Anolis sagrei: one gene and its partner. The protein of the gene in region 1 interacts with the protein of each later gene in a biochemical or structural test. Links are inferred from orthologs where the notes say so. Each region holds a gene or a part of one and is shown in the gene's direction. Other genes may lie near its edges.

Region 1 (7,220 bases):
CCCACATCACTTAATTGCTATTTGGAGAAGGATCAGTCATTTCATTCTTTATTTAAGGTACAATGCTATCTCTGTTTTACTAATCAGCAATTACAGGTTAAAAACAATTTGGTTGTTTTTAAAATGAAGAGATGTTTCTGCTATACATCAGCTCACACTTTGCTTTTTTAGTTGTGAAACATTCCCTTTCATGGGGTGCCCTCTTTTGTGGGCTGACTGCTACTTGGTCCCACCACCTTCATTTCTTTCATGTTACAATCCCTAAAGGCATCACCATCTGAACTTGGAAGCTAACTTGGATGGAGACTGCCAATGAACACCAAGTGCTGTAGGCTATGTTGTAGAGGAAGCAATTGACAAAACCACTTCTGAGTATTTCTTGCCTAAGAAAAAAACATAGCAAATCCTTGGTGCCACCATACATTGAAAATATGACTTGAAAGTGCACACACCATCTTTACAATGCAGTGATGCAGAATGGTTCAGTGACCTAGAGGTGAATTCATTTCAACCTTACATTCTTCCAGATGGGCTTGGCATTTCAGTTTTATCCATTAATATTTTGTTTCAAGTTATTACAAACCAGATGACAGCATTTAACAATCAGCTCCTTTCTCTCACATACAGATAGAACTTTATGCCCAGGTAGTAGAGAAGAGCTATATATTTTATTTATTGTATCAGGAGTGAACCATTGTTTTTGAGAAAACACACAGTTTAAAAACTTGGCATTCTATTAAAAGTAATTTGACCAGTAGCTGGCCACTTGGGAGTGCCTCTGGCGTCACTATAAGGAGGTGCTCCATTGTGCATGTGGCAGGGCTCAGGTTGCATTGTAGTAGGGGGTCTGTGGTTTGTCTTCTCCACATTCGCGTGTCATGGACTCCACTTTGTAGCCCCATTTCTTAAGGATGGCTCTGCATCTTGTGGTGCCAGAGCGCAGTCTGTTCAGTGCCTTCCAAGTTGCCCAGTCTTCTGTGTGCCCAGGGGGGAGTCTCTCATTTGGTATCAGCCATGGATTGAGGTGCTGGGATTTAGCTTGCCACTTTTGGACTCTCACTTGCTGAGGTGTTCTTGCGAGTATCTCTGTAGATCTTAGAAAACTATTTCTTGATTTAAGGTGTTGAGCTATAGAAACCAATCCTTTTGAAAGAAGGAGCCCAATCCACTGACCATTGGATTGTGCGTTCTGCCTGCTGTCCTACATTAAGTTTACTTGTTTTTTATTTATTTTTGCTGGGGTTCAGATTTTCAGTTATAATTTTGTAATCTACAGTTAGGAATCCATAACTGCCTTTTGTTGAATAAAATCATGGGTTAAGCTAGCTTCATTTTGAATCCATCGCCTCCTGTCTCCATGATGAATAGGAACTTTTGGTCAATACCCCAGGTTTTCTGGTTTTGATTTGATCGACTGTTCTAGACCAAATCGCAAAATACCTTAAGGCTGAAAAGCAGTCTGGATAGTTGGATTGGATATATTGTGGTCAGATCCCATGTCCAAATGGACACTGCCACCATAACCCTTTCTCTGAGCTGAACAGCAGAGAGGAAGGGAATGGCTCACCCCTGCATCACTGTAATTGCTTCCTACTGGCAACAGAGTTCACTGAAGAATACCTCGCCATCATGGGCATATATTGCTGATATTTGCAGATGTTGATCAACCCCTTACTTCTTGCTAGTTGCACAGGTGCCCTGTTCTGACATCAGCAGATGTGACTGGACATAGCCAAGCACTCTCACAGAATTCTGTGACTGGCAGGTTGTGGCAGTGGCAACATGGAGGACAAGATAACATCCTAGCCGGGCTGCTGTGATCCCAGCCTGGCTGGACTGGTCTTTAGTTTAGCATGTACATGCTGGATCTGGGGTTGCTTTGAGACAGATATACAATGGACTAACCCGTCTAGTGTAGAAATAGCCTTTGTCATGCCACCTCCTCAGCCCACATTAACAGCCAGCAACCAGACTGGGTGAAGGATGTTTCTTCAGCTGTCGATCAGGATGAAAGGATAATGTTTTTAACTCTCTCCCATTAGTGACTGAGACTGCAACCATCAGATCTTAGACACACAAGTTCTTTTTGCAAGTTTGCTCTCTGGTGAAGGAACTGAGAATATCATCCTTACTCCTCAGTTGCCAGCTGAACAGACCTTTCTCTCCTAATCTTACTGCTGGTTGTTAAGGTGGACTAGAAGGGGAGGATTGGACTAGAGACATTACTTAGTTGTTATCATATATAACTAAGAAGCCCATGAAGTATATTAGTATTGATTTATTTCTCTGTGACTATGATTCAGAGTGGCTTACTACACAATTAAAAACTAATTCAAATGAAACATTACTAAGCATTACTATAAAATTACTGAAAAAGTATAAAGTAAGTTACATCATTAATGCCACAATTAAACTAAAGAAAATTGAAAGTGGATAGTTTTAAATAACTGTCAAAAATAAAGAAACCTACTGGGTACATCTATTTTACACCGTGTCCTCCAATTGCCAAAAATCTGCCTGAATAATAAGTAATTTCCTGCTGAAGACAACAAGGAAGGACCAAATTGTCCTGGGCGCAGCCACCCAGAAAGTTCTGCCTCATGTTCTCACTAAACCTGCCTCCAAGGGTTATGGGAACAAGAGAAAGGTTTCCCACACAGATCTAAAGGGCTGGACATGTCTGGGAGAACATTCATTTTTTCAAATTTCCTGGAAATTAGTTGTAGACACTCCTTTTCTCTCCTGTCAAATAAATTGTGGATTACACATTGAAGTACTATCAACATATTGGCAATGATAGGAGACCCCAGTGGCAAAATGAGTTAAACCCTTGTGCTGGCAGGATTGCTGACCGACAGATCAGTGGTTTGAATCTGGGGAAAGCGGGTTGAGCTCCCTCTGTCAGCTCCAGCTCATGCGGGGACATGAGAGAAACCTCCCACAAGGATGGTAAAAACATCAAAATGTTTGGGTGTTACTTGAGGAACATCCTTGCAGATGGCCATTTCTCTCACATCAGAAGTGACTTTCTCAAGTCGCTCCTGACATGAAAAAAATGGCAATGATAACTGGGTGCTCTCCAGATGTATTGGGCTGCAACTGCTATCACAGCCAGCCATCAATAAGTAAATATATGTGGATACACCCACAAGCTGAAAAAGGCTTATTCATAATATCTATAGGCTTATTTCAAGATACATAACCACCAGTTCCTTATTTATAAACATTGGCCTAGTGGCATTCCAATTACATATATTTGATACCAACTTAAAATTTGGATTAAAGACCATTCTGGATCATTTTGAACTGTTTTGATTTTAGGGGTATATAATTTATGGGGTGGATCTCTGAAAAGTTTTGGGTTTTTTAAATTTTGGGAGTTCAAAGACGCATAAACTTTACCTTTCATAAATGAATACAGATTAAGCATCTCTTCTCTGAAGTGCTTGAGATCTGAGGTGTTTTGGATTTCAGATTTTTTAAAAGATCTTGGAATACCTGTATTTGTATCATATATGTACATAATGAGAAACCTTGGAGATGGGACTCAAGTCTAAACAACATCTTTGTGCATGTCTCATAGACACCTTATACACATAGCTGAAGTTAATTTATACACAAATTTAAAAATCATTTTGTGTATGAAACAAATGCTGTGTACATTGAATAATCTGAAAGCAAGCTGACATGGATAAAGGGTGCCCAACTTGTATTAGTGTGTCAACACTGTGAGAATAAAAAGAAAAAGTCAGAAATATCAGACTGATGAAGCATGAAGGAAATTATGGGTGAGAACCCTTAGGAGGAAGAGTGAAAATCCACCCTGGAACAGAATTGTTGTCTGCATCTCTTTTGGTGCATAAACAATTACAGAGGATGTTGCACATTACAAAATCAAAACATTTCTTAACACTATTGAATTCAATCTACCGATACTCCTCTGTCGCCTTCCGTATTCAATCTGCAGTTTTGCCATTAGCTCAGATATCTATTTCTTCACTTCAGTGGCCAGTTTGTTTCAAAGACATGTGGGTGTGTCTATCATCTACATCACATGTTGAGCCATTTCCACTGAGCAACCAATCCTTGGAGTTGGAGAAGTTAATCCTGGTTGCTAGGTGTGGCTTCCAATGACTTTATAAAAAGCAGAAGGCTTAGGCTTAGTTCTTCCAGTCAGTACTTTCCCAAATCAGAAAACAGAGTTGGTGTGACTTGTGGAAAAGAAAAGGTATGGTTTCTTTAGACATCATTTCTTCACTTGCTGTAGAAGTGTGTCGCTTTCTGCACATGTTGATGTGGCTTTTTTTCCCTGCACAGAATGTGAGAATAGTATTGTAGTTTATCTAAGCTTCTCCAATTGTTTTGAAGTTGTGTGGATATTAGGGCAGCTGGGGTGGGAGTGGCAAAGCTTTATAGTGTCTAAATCTAAACGTCTGAATATAAAGTTTTCTTAAGTTTGTACAATACAGGTTTTTTTTAGAACCGACTTGCTCCATGCTGTGTTTGTTCATGTTTCTATGGACAACTGAATTATTTTTAACCACAAAAGTCTGTGTCAAGAGGGGAAAAATGCCCCTCCCTTGTATGGAAACTTACATGAGGCCACTTCCCCTGCAGTTATGATGAGGTTGCTTAATTATTTGGGAATAGTAGAGCTCAGTTCTCCTAAACTTGAAAATATTAACAGCATATGAAAAGCAAAGTGAAAATTTAAATAAGAGCTGCCTTCTGAGAAAGCAAGGGAATGAAACAGTCCAGTTTTTCTGTTTACACGTAAGCAGCAACTCAGCAGCATGAGTAAGCTCTGTGGAATTCTACTTTTAGTCTGTTCAAACTTTCCACAGATACATAAAAAAGAGTGTCGGGCCATTTCCTCCTCACTGGTGGATTCTTTTCAGTCATAAAACAAGTTTTTCAAAATTTTTCACGCCATCCTGGCTGTAAAATTTGTAGGAGTTGCATATAAATGCAGGCTGACTGCAAGGGTAACTGTTCTTTTAGGAAGTGAGTTTTGTTGGCAGTCTTAACCACATTTACTTGTTACAAAGTATATCACCACACTCAAGACAATGGGATTTCACTTTTGTATGAATGTGCTTGCATGTTTTAATTGATGCTCTATACATACAACAGTCTTTAAGCTGAGTGACTAATGGTCCTCCAACTGTTGTTGGCTGTGCCTGCTGGGGATGATAGGATCTGGAGTGAATATCACCAGCTGGACCATAAATTGCCCACTACTTTGCCCTATCATACTGTACTACATTTATATTGGGACAGGATTTGTCTTCCTGTTTTCCTGAAAGCATTGCATGGGACATGTACTTTGGGGATACTGCGGCCCACAACAAATGATCCCAGAAACATAGTTATGAGGTTGTAGATACTTCCAATGAGATTCACGTGTTGGCTATTTCCTGCAATGTGTGGTTATCTTTTATAACCTATACTACTTCCAAAAAGATCTAACTGGGATCACATTTTAATAGATCGGGGTGTGGCCATCCCACATCCAGTTCCTGAAAGTTTTGTGTCCCATCACCAGAGGCTCTTCTTTTATTCAAATATTATCAAGGCTTAACATATGGCTGCTTGCACAAGTTTTGCAACCATCGTCTGGGTTATATCATAACAGTATGCAAGAGATCTCTACAGTTGTATTTCAAGGGAGAGAACTAGAAATCTCTAGAAGGAAATGAAACCTTCCTAACCTACAAACTCAGGATTCTATAGGCTGGAGCCGTGGCAGTAAAAGTAAAATCAAATTGTTATAATTAAAGAGCGTGGTTAAAATTAGTCTCTTTTATTAATTTTAAACTGATGTGTTGAGTCTTTTATGTACAGCTTTGGGACTGGGCTATGGGATTGTTCTTCGTTCTTGTAGTTTGAAGCCATTGTCCCGCGTCCTGCTGCTTTGGAGACTAGGACTTGTAACAATTACTTCAAACTACAGGAAAGGAGATTCCACCTGAATATTAGGAAGAACTTCCTAACTGTGAGAGCTGTTCAGCAGTGGAACTCTCTGCCCTGGAGCATGCTGGAAACTCCTTCATTTACCGGTTAATCAAAAGCGCATTGTTTTTAGGGCTTTACAGAAAGTGGACAGGGTGCACACTAGTCTAATCTCCGTGTGGAGAGGGTTCCAGGGCTGGGGGCCACCACCGAGAAGGCCCTCTCTCTCGTCCCCACCAACCACACTTGAGACAGAGGTAGGAACGAAAAAAGGGCCTCTCCAGGAGATCTTAGAGCTCGCACAGGTTCATCGGGAAATATGTGATCACAATGATAGGCTGGACCCAAACCATTTAGGGCTTTGAATTGGGACAGGAAACTTATCAGCAGCCAGTGGAGCTGTTTTAATAGGGGAGTGGCATAACGATATTAGTGCACAGCAAACATGATCACTATGCTGGCTTTTTAATTTGATCACATGTTGGACACTTCTCAAGTGTCTAGAACTGTATGATGTATTGGTGAATAATGAGTGCAGTAGGGTATGCAAGTAGGGTAGCCTTTTGCAGCTGACAGATGGTAATTTTATCAACGCCGATTGTTTTTAAGTGTAGACCAAGGTCTTTAGGCACTGCACCCAGTGTGCCGATCACCACTGGGATGACCTTTACTGGCTTGTGCCAGAGTCTTTGCAGTTTTATCTTTAAATACTCATGGGATGGTGCATGAGGTCTCTTCCAACTCTATGATTCTATGAAACAGCATGTCACACAGTTTCTCCCAGAGTAAAATGAGAATACCACAGAGGACTCTGACTCATTTAGAGGCCTCCGGGCAGATGTGGGAGGAATATTTGTCTAATGTGCTGGCTCTTGGAATGTCCTGAATAACCAGAAGAGTGTTTAAAATGAATGTACAAAAGAGAATTCTACAGCATTTTATTCTCATCTCTTGTTGCAGAAACATAAATCAACATGGCTATGGTGCGAGAATTTCTGATGCAGGCCTTTTTCATTGACAATAATGAACAAGAATATGTGGTAAGTGGTGTTTTAAAGAATTTGGCTAAGATCCTGTTCAATCCAGTAGAGTATATTATTACACAGACATAGCAACAGCTTTCTGGTGGCCATCCTGTTACCTGTTCTGAATCCTGGAGTGAGGCAGAGGTGTATCCTTTGCAAGTTGCTTGTTGAACAGTGGGGTAAGGTAGCACTGCTTGTTGAAAGGGATACTGGGTACTTTTTTGTGTAGGCGTGTGAAAAGTA
Region 2 (7,078 bases), on another chromosome or scaffold:
GTCTTAAAATGGAAGAGATTTCCTTCAAAATCCCAAGAATTCAAGGGAGTGGATGGATCGTATTCCAAGTATATCAATAAATTACCTTTATCTGATTCAATTGTCGTCTCCGTTTCGTTCTTTTCGTTTGTAAAATCAGAGAATTGTTGGGTTGCGAGCCAAGTCTCCACGAAGGACCATAATTCTATTACATTTTTCTAAAATATGTGCCTCACTTGAGTCCCTAAATCAGGAGAAAAATTAAATTAAAAATAAAAATATAATTGATCCAATTCTAGCAATACATGCATAGACCACTAGGTGGCAACAGAGAGTCAACCAAATCAACAATAATGGAAAATCAAGGGAGTGATGGTTCATTGCCTGGAGGAAATGATTAATTGGATGACTCATGGGAAACTTTGTCCAGGGATTGTGTGTGTGTGTGTGTGCTTTCCTAGCAAGTCACAGCTAGTCTCCATGGCGTGAAAAATAAAACAAACAAGAGGCAAACAAACAGGCCTTCCCTTTCTCTTCCCTTCTGGGCGTCCTTAACCGCTCTAGATCTCTCCTCTTCTATTTTGTGTGCATGTTGATTCAACACAATTGCACAAGATGTGAGTCCTTCTCACCGAAACCCGTGGAAACTCTCCACGAGTACATTGTAAATTTTTTCCCCTTTGAGATATGAGCTCCGTCCCATGTCAGTTTATGAGACCATGGGAAAACTACAATTTCCCCCTGAATTAGGGCAAATCCCAGCCACCTGCAGAATAAATCAACAAGCTGCTAGAGCTCAGGTGCACCCACACTGTGGAATTAATGCAATACGACACTACCTAGCCATACAACACTAGCCATAGTTCAACACTAGCCATAGTTCGCTACTATGGAATCCTGGGAGTTGTAGTTTGACAAAGTCAACAGCCTCCCATGCCACATAGGGCTGGTGCCTCTCAGAACTGTAACTCCCGGGATTTGGAGCAGTTTGGCATCACTTGAACTGTCTTGGCCCAATGCTTTGGAAACATGGGAGTTGTAGTTTGGCAGAGCACCTGGGGCAGAGAAGACCTTGCGGAACTACAACTCCCAGCAGACTACTCCATGGAGCCATGGCAATTCAAGTGGCCACAAACTCGTTCGTTGTATGGGATCCTGGGAGTTGTAGTTTGGCAGATCACCTTGGGCAGAGAAGACCTTGCGGAACTACAACTCCCAGTAGACTACTCCATGGAGCCATGGCAGTTCAAGTGGCCACAAACTCATTAGTTGTATGGGATTCTGGGAGTTGTAGTTTGGCAGAGAACCTTGGGCAGAGAAGACCTTGCGGAGCTACAACTCCCAGCAAACGTCTCCATGGAGGCATGGCGGTTCAAGTGGCCACAAACTCATTAGTTGTATGGGATCCTGGGAGTTGTAGTTTGGCAGAGCACCTGGGGCAGAGAAGACCTTGCAGAACTACAACTCCCAGCAGATGTCTCCATGGAGCCATGGCAGTTCAAATGGCCACAAACTCGTTCATTGTATGGGATCCTGGGAGTTGTAGTTTGGCAGAGCACCTGGGGCAGAGAAGACCTTGCAGAACTACAACTCCCAGTAGACTACTCCATGGAGCCATGGCAGTTCAAGTGGCCACAAACTCATTAGTTGTATGGGATCCTGGGAGTTGTAGTTTGGCAGAGCACCTGGAGCCATGGCAGTTCAAGTGGACACAAACTCAGTTGTATGGGATCCTGGGAGTTGTAGTTTGGCAGAGCACCTGGAGACATGGCAGTTCAAGTGGACACAAACTCATTAGTTGTATGGGATCCTGGGAGTTGTAGTTTGGCGAGGTCCCAATACTCTTGTGCCAAGAAAACAACAGGCTGTGCAAAACTACAACTCTCCAAATCTTGTAGCATTGAGCCATGGATGTTATGGAGATGCCAAATTGCATTCATTTTGATGTACCTTTTGGAGTGTATAATGGATGCATAGTTTGGCACCACTTGGACTGCCAAGGCTCAATGCTATGGAATTAAGGGAATTATAGTTTTACAATGTATTTCGCCTTCTCTGCCAGGGCCTCCCCAAACTATAACTCCCTCAGTTCCATAGCATTGCTCCATGGCTATTATAGTGTTGTCAAACTACATTCATGCACTTATTAGTCGTATGTATGTAATCCTGGGAGTTGTAGCTTGGTGCAGTGCCCAACTCTCACTGAGAAAGTTACAGGAAAACTACAACTCCTGAAATCCCATAGCATTGAGCCACAGCAATTCAAGTGGCCTCCAGTTGCATTCTTTCTACAATGAGGATACAGCTATTCATTATGTGAGATCCTGGGAGATATAGTTTAGCAATACCATTCTTAGGCCTAGAAGGCTACAGGCTTTGCCAAACTACAGCTCCCAGGAATCTATAGCCTTCAGCCAGGGTAGTTCAAGCGGTCTTCGGTTGCATTCATTCTACTGCATTGTCTCACATTTGTGGGTTTGGGGGACATAATGGGAGTTGTAGTTTGGTGATGCACCTAAGTCTATGGCCATGAAAGCTTAGATGCAACATAGTCTCACATTTGTGGGTTTGGGGGACATAATGGGAGTTGTAGTTTGGTGATGCACCCAAGTCTACGGCCATGAAAGCTTAGATGCAACATTGTCTCACATTTGTGGGTTTGGGGGACATAATGGGAGTTGTAGTTTGGTGATGCATGCAAGTCTAGGCCCATGAAAGCTTAGATGCACCGTTGTCCCACATTGGTGTGTTCGGAGGACATTGTGGGAGTTGTAGTTTAGTGATGGACCCAAATCTAGGGCCATGAAAACTTAGATACACCATTGTCTCACATTGGTGGGTTCGGAGGACAATGTGGGAGTTGTAGTTTGGGTGTTGCATCCAAGTCTAGGCCCATGAAAGCTTAGATGCACCATTGTCTCAAATTTGAGGGTTCGGAGGACATTGTGGGAGTTGTAGTTTGGTGATGCACCCAGATGTAGGACCATGAAAACTTAGATACACTATTGTCTCACATTGGTGGGTTCAGAGGACATTGTGGGAGTTATAGTTTGACAATGCACCCAAATCTAGGGCCATGAAAACTGAAATGCACCATTGTCTCACAATGGTGGATTCGTAGGACACTGTGGGAGTTGTAGTTTGCATTGCATCTAAGTTTAGGGCCATGGAAGCTTAGATGCACCATTGTCTCACATTTATGGGTTCAGAAGACATTGTGGGAGTTGTAGTTTTGTGATGCACCCAAGTCTAGGGCCATGAAGACTTAGATGCACCATTGTCCCACATTGGAGGACATTGTGGGAGTTGTAGTTTGGTGATGCACCCAAGTCTACGGACATGAAAACTTAGATACACCATTGCCTTGTATTGGTGGGTTCGAATGACATTGTGGGAGTTGTAGTTGGCAATGAATCCAAGTCTAGGGCCATTAAAACTTAGATGCACCAATGTCTCACATTTGTGGATTCAGAGGACATTGTGGGAGTTGTAGTTTGGTGATTCACGCAAGTCTAGGGCCATGAAAGCTTAGATGCACCACTATGTTACATTGGTGAGTTCGGAGGACATTGTGGGAGTTGTAGTTTGGTGTTGCACCCAAGTCTACGGTCATAAAAGCTTAGATGCAACATTGTCTCACATTTGTGGGTTTGGGGGACATAATGGGAGTTGTAGTTTGGCAATGCACCCAAGTCTAGGGCCATGAAAACTCAGATGCACCATTGTCTCACATTGGAGGACATTGTGGGAATTATAGTTTGGCAATGCACCCAAGTCTAGGTCTATGAAAGCTTCAGACTGGCAAACTGCAGCTCCCACAATCCCATAGCATTGAGCCACAGATGTGGAAATGGTCTCAAAATGCATTGATGTGCTCTTCTTCTCCATTTATGGGATGATGCATTGAGAAGCAATAAGCCAGGGCTTTTGGTGCGCTCTCCTCAGCATTGTGCTCCAATCTGGCCCTGATAAGAGGACTTAGAAGTAAAATAAACGTGCGCACCCGCCCCCACCCTCGTCTTCTTCCACATTCCTGAGCGCATAAGTCAGGTGGGGTTGTGCAAGCCCTCTCAGCAGGCCTGCCTGGGTCTGCTTTCACAAAGCCATTGCTCAAGCCAAAAGCCACAAGAGAAAGAACTTTGGGCGTTGGCTGGGGAGGGGAGTGGAGTGCGCTTCCTTTTGCGCATCAGACCCATCGCCCACAGCAACAGGCCAACAGCTTCGGCGAAGCCACCACATTTCTCTCCTTGCTTCTGCATTTCCGAAACCATGGTAAGTTGCAGGCACCACATAGGGAAACATGCACCGCAACATGCAACTTTCGTCCTCTTTTCCTCCCTTTGTTTGTTTTTATTGAATTCTGGAAAACTGGAAAAGCCTTTTTTTGGCACGGAAGAAGAGAGAAACCGCCAAGACTGAAATCATATCCTCTGCAGAGTTTGGAGAGGCGGTTTGGGGCATTTGGAACAATGGAATAAGGACGCCCAATGAGTCTCTTTCAGGTTCGGAAAGAAGGAAAAGGGGGCACCCAAATGTCACCCCACGGGTCTCCTTAAAATTTGGACATTTCATTCCATGGGTCTCCTTAAAGTTTGGAAATTTGAACCCATGGGTCTCCTTAAGATTTGGAGATACGGACCCAGAGGTCTCCTTAAGGTTTAGAAATTTGGAAACATAAGTCTCTTTAAGACTTGGAAATATGGACCCATAGCTCTCCTGAGAATTTGGAGATGTTGGTTTGGGAATTTGGAGACAAAAGTATGGAAATTTGAACCCATAGGTCTCCTTAAGATTTGGATATTTCATCCCATGGGTCTCCTGAAGGTTTGGAAATTTGGAGACATAGGTCTCCTTAATTAAGGTTTGGAAATTTGGAGACGTTGGTCTCCTGAAGGTTGGGAAATTTCATCCCATGGGTCTCTTAAGGTTTGGAAATTTGGAGACATAGGTCTCCTTAGAGTTTGGAAATATGGAGACATAGGTCTCCTTGGGGTTTGGAAATATGGATCCATAGCTCTCCCAAAGGTTTGGAAATTTAGAGACGTAGGTCTCCTGAAGGTTTGGAAATTTCATCCTAAGGGTCTCCTGAAGGTTTAGAAATATAGACCCATAGCTCTCCCAAAGGTTGGAAATTTGGAGATGTATATCTCCTGAAGGTTTGGAAATTTCATCCTAAGGGTCTTCTGAAGGTTTGGAAATTTCATCCTAAGGGTCTCCTGAAGGTTTGGAAATATGGAACCACAGTTCTCCCAAAGGTTTGGAAATTTGGAGACGTAGGTCTCCTGAAAGTTTGGAAATTTCATCCTAAGGGTCTCCTGAAGGTTTAGAAATATAGACCCATAGCTCTCCCAAAGGTTGGAAATTTGGAGATGTATGTCTCCTGAAGGTTTGGAAATTTCATCCTAAATGTCTCCTGAAGGTTTGGAAATTTCATCCCATGGGTCTCCTGAAGGTTTGGAAATATGGAGATGTAGGTCTCCTGAAGGTTTGGAAATTTCATCCCATGAATCTCCTGAAGGTTTGGAAATTTGGAGACTTGGGTATCCTTAAGGTTTGGAGATTTTTATCCCATGGATCTCCTTAAGGTTTAGAAATTTGGAGACATAGGTCTCCTAAAGGTTTGGAAATATGGAGACACAGGTCTCCTTAATGTTTGGAAATATCGAGATATAGATCTCCTGAAGGTTTAGAAATATGGAGTCATAGGTCTCCTTAGGATTTGGAAATATGGAGACACAGGTCTCCTGAAGATCTGGAAATTTGGAGACATAGATCTTATGTTTGGAATATGGACCTATAGGTTTCCATTTTCAGAAAGATGGAGAAGAGGCACCAAAACTTCACTCTATGGGTCTCCTTGAGCTTTTCCTTTCCTTTGAGGGAGCATCAACTGCCAAATTAATGGGGTTGGAGACTTGGACTGTCCCAGACTCCTTGCTATGGAGTCCTGGGAGTTATAGTTTGGTGAGGCACCAGCATTATTGGGCAGAGATTGCACGAGCGGCTCACAAAAGGGCGCGGCCATGTGAAACCGTTTTGGCCCGCCTGAAGCACATCACACCCTACTTTGCACACCTCTCTGTGTGGCGTAACGGAGCTGGGAGGCTATTGCAAGGGATTCTTCTCTCCTCCTTCCCCCTTTTGTACTCTGCTTGCTGCCATTGCTGCAAAATGACCTTCAAGAGGGTCCCCAAAGGTCATCAAGACTGAACGCCCCTCCCAGATAATCTCCAAATGTCCCAAAAGTCTGATCCTGGGACAGTGCAAGATACTTGCCAAAAATCGCAATTTGCAACCGTTCCTGATTCGTCCCTTTCCCAGCTACCTTTGAAACGTCCCGGCTTATCTCTCGTCCTTCCGCTTTTGTGCTCAGCTTCCTCCCATTACTGCAAATTGGCCTTCCAAAGGGCGCTCAGTAAAGAGAAGGAGGCCAAGAGGATATTGAAACGGGCCCACCTTTTTCCCCTTTCCTTCCAACTCCTTTCCATTGAGCAAACATTCCAGTTCGCATGAGAAAAAGGTGCAGATTTGGGCTGGTTCCCAAAACCTGATTCATCTCCACCTCCTCCGCCCAGACTCTCTGCCCCAGGCGTCCCTTTCCCAAGATTTCCTTGTGAGCTTATTTTCTCCTGGTGTCAAAAAGCGCAAAGCTGAGAAACACATTGAGAAATTACTATTATTATTATTATTATTATTATTATTATTATTATTATTATTAGGTTGTTATAGGTTTTTCTGGGCTATATGGCCATGTTCTAGAGGCATTTTCTCCTGACGTTTTGCCTGCATCTATGGCAAGCATCCTCAGAGGTAGTGAGGTGATGCTTGCCATAGATGCAGGCGAAACGTCAGGAGAAAATGCCTCTAGAACATGGCCATATAGCCCGGAAAAACCTACAACAACCCAGTGATTCCAGCCATTATTATTATTATTATTATTATTATTATTATTATTATTATTATTTTGCTGATACAAAAACACAGTATGTCACAGCAAATCAGATATATATGCTGGATTACTATTATTATTATTTATTATTATTATTATTTATTTATTTATTTATTTATTTGACTTGTATACCGCTACTCCCAATTTGGC

Evidence for each region. The genes of interacting proteins can lie anywhere in the genome.
Region 2: the proteins of ANXA1 (region 1) and S100A11 form a complex in vitro, tested with the Homo sapiens proteins (2 studies listed by BioGRID). The link is inferred for Anolis sagrei from reciprocal best matches to the Homo sapiens genes ANXA1 and S100A11.

What each region holds. Positions count from the first base shown.
Region 1 is NC_090022.1:223,642,992-223,650,211, forward strand, and holds the start of ANXA1 (annexin A1), read left to right. Parts: upstream 1-4,119; 5' UTR 4,120-4,228; intron 4,229-6,912; 5' UTR 6,913-6,926; coding exon 6,927-6,992; intron 6,993-7,220. UniProt on the Homo sapiens protein: Plays important roles in the innate immune response as effector of glucocorticoid-mediated responses and regulator of the inflammatory process. Has anti-inflammatory activity.
Region 2 is NC_090032.1:3,615,978-3,623,055, forward strand, and holds the start of S100A11 (protein S100-A11), read left to right. Parts: upstream 1-4,068; 5' UTR 4,069-4,248; coding exon 4,249-4,251; intron 4,252-7,078. UniProt on the Homo sapiens protein: Facilitates the differentiation and the cornification of keratinocytes.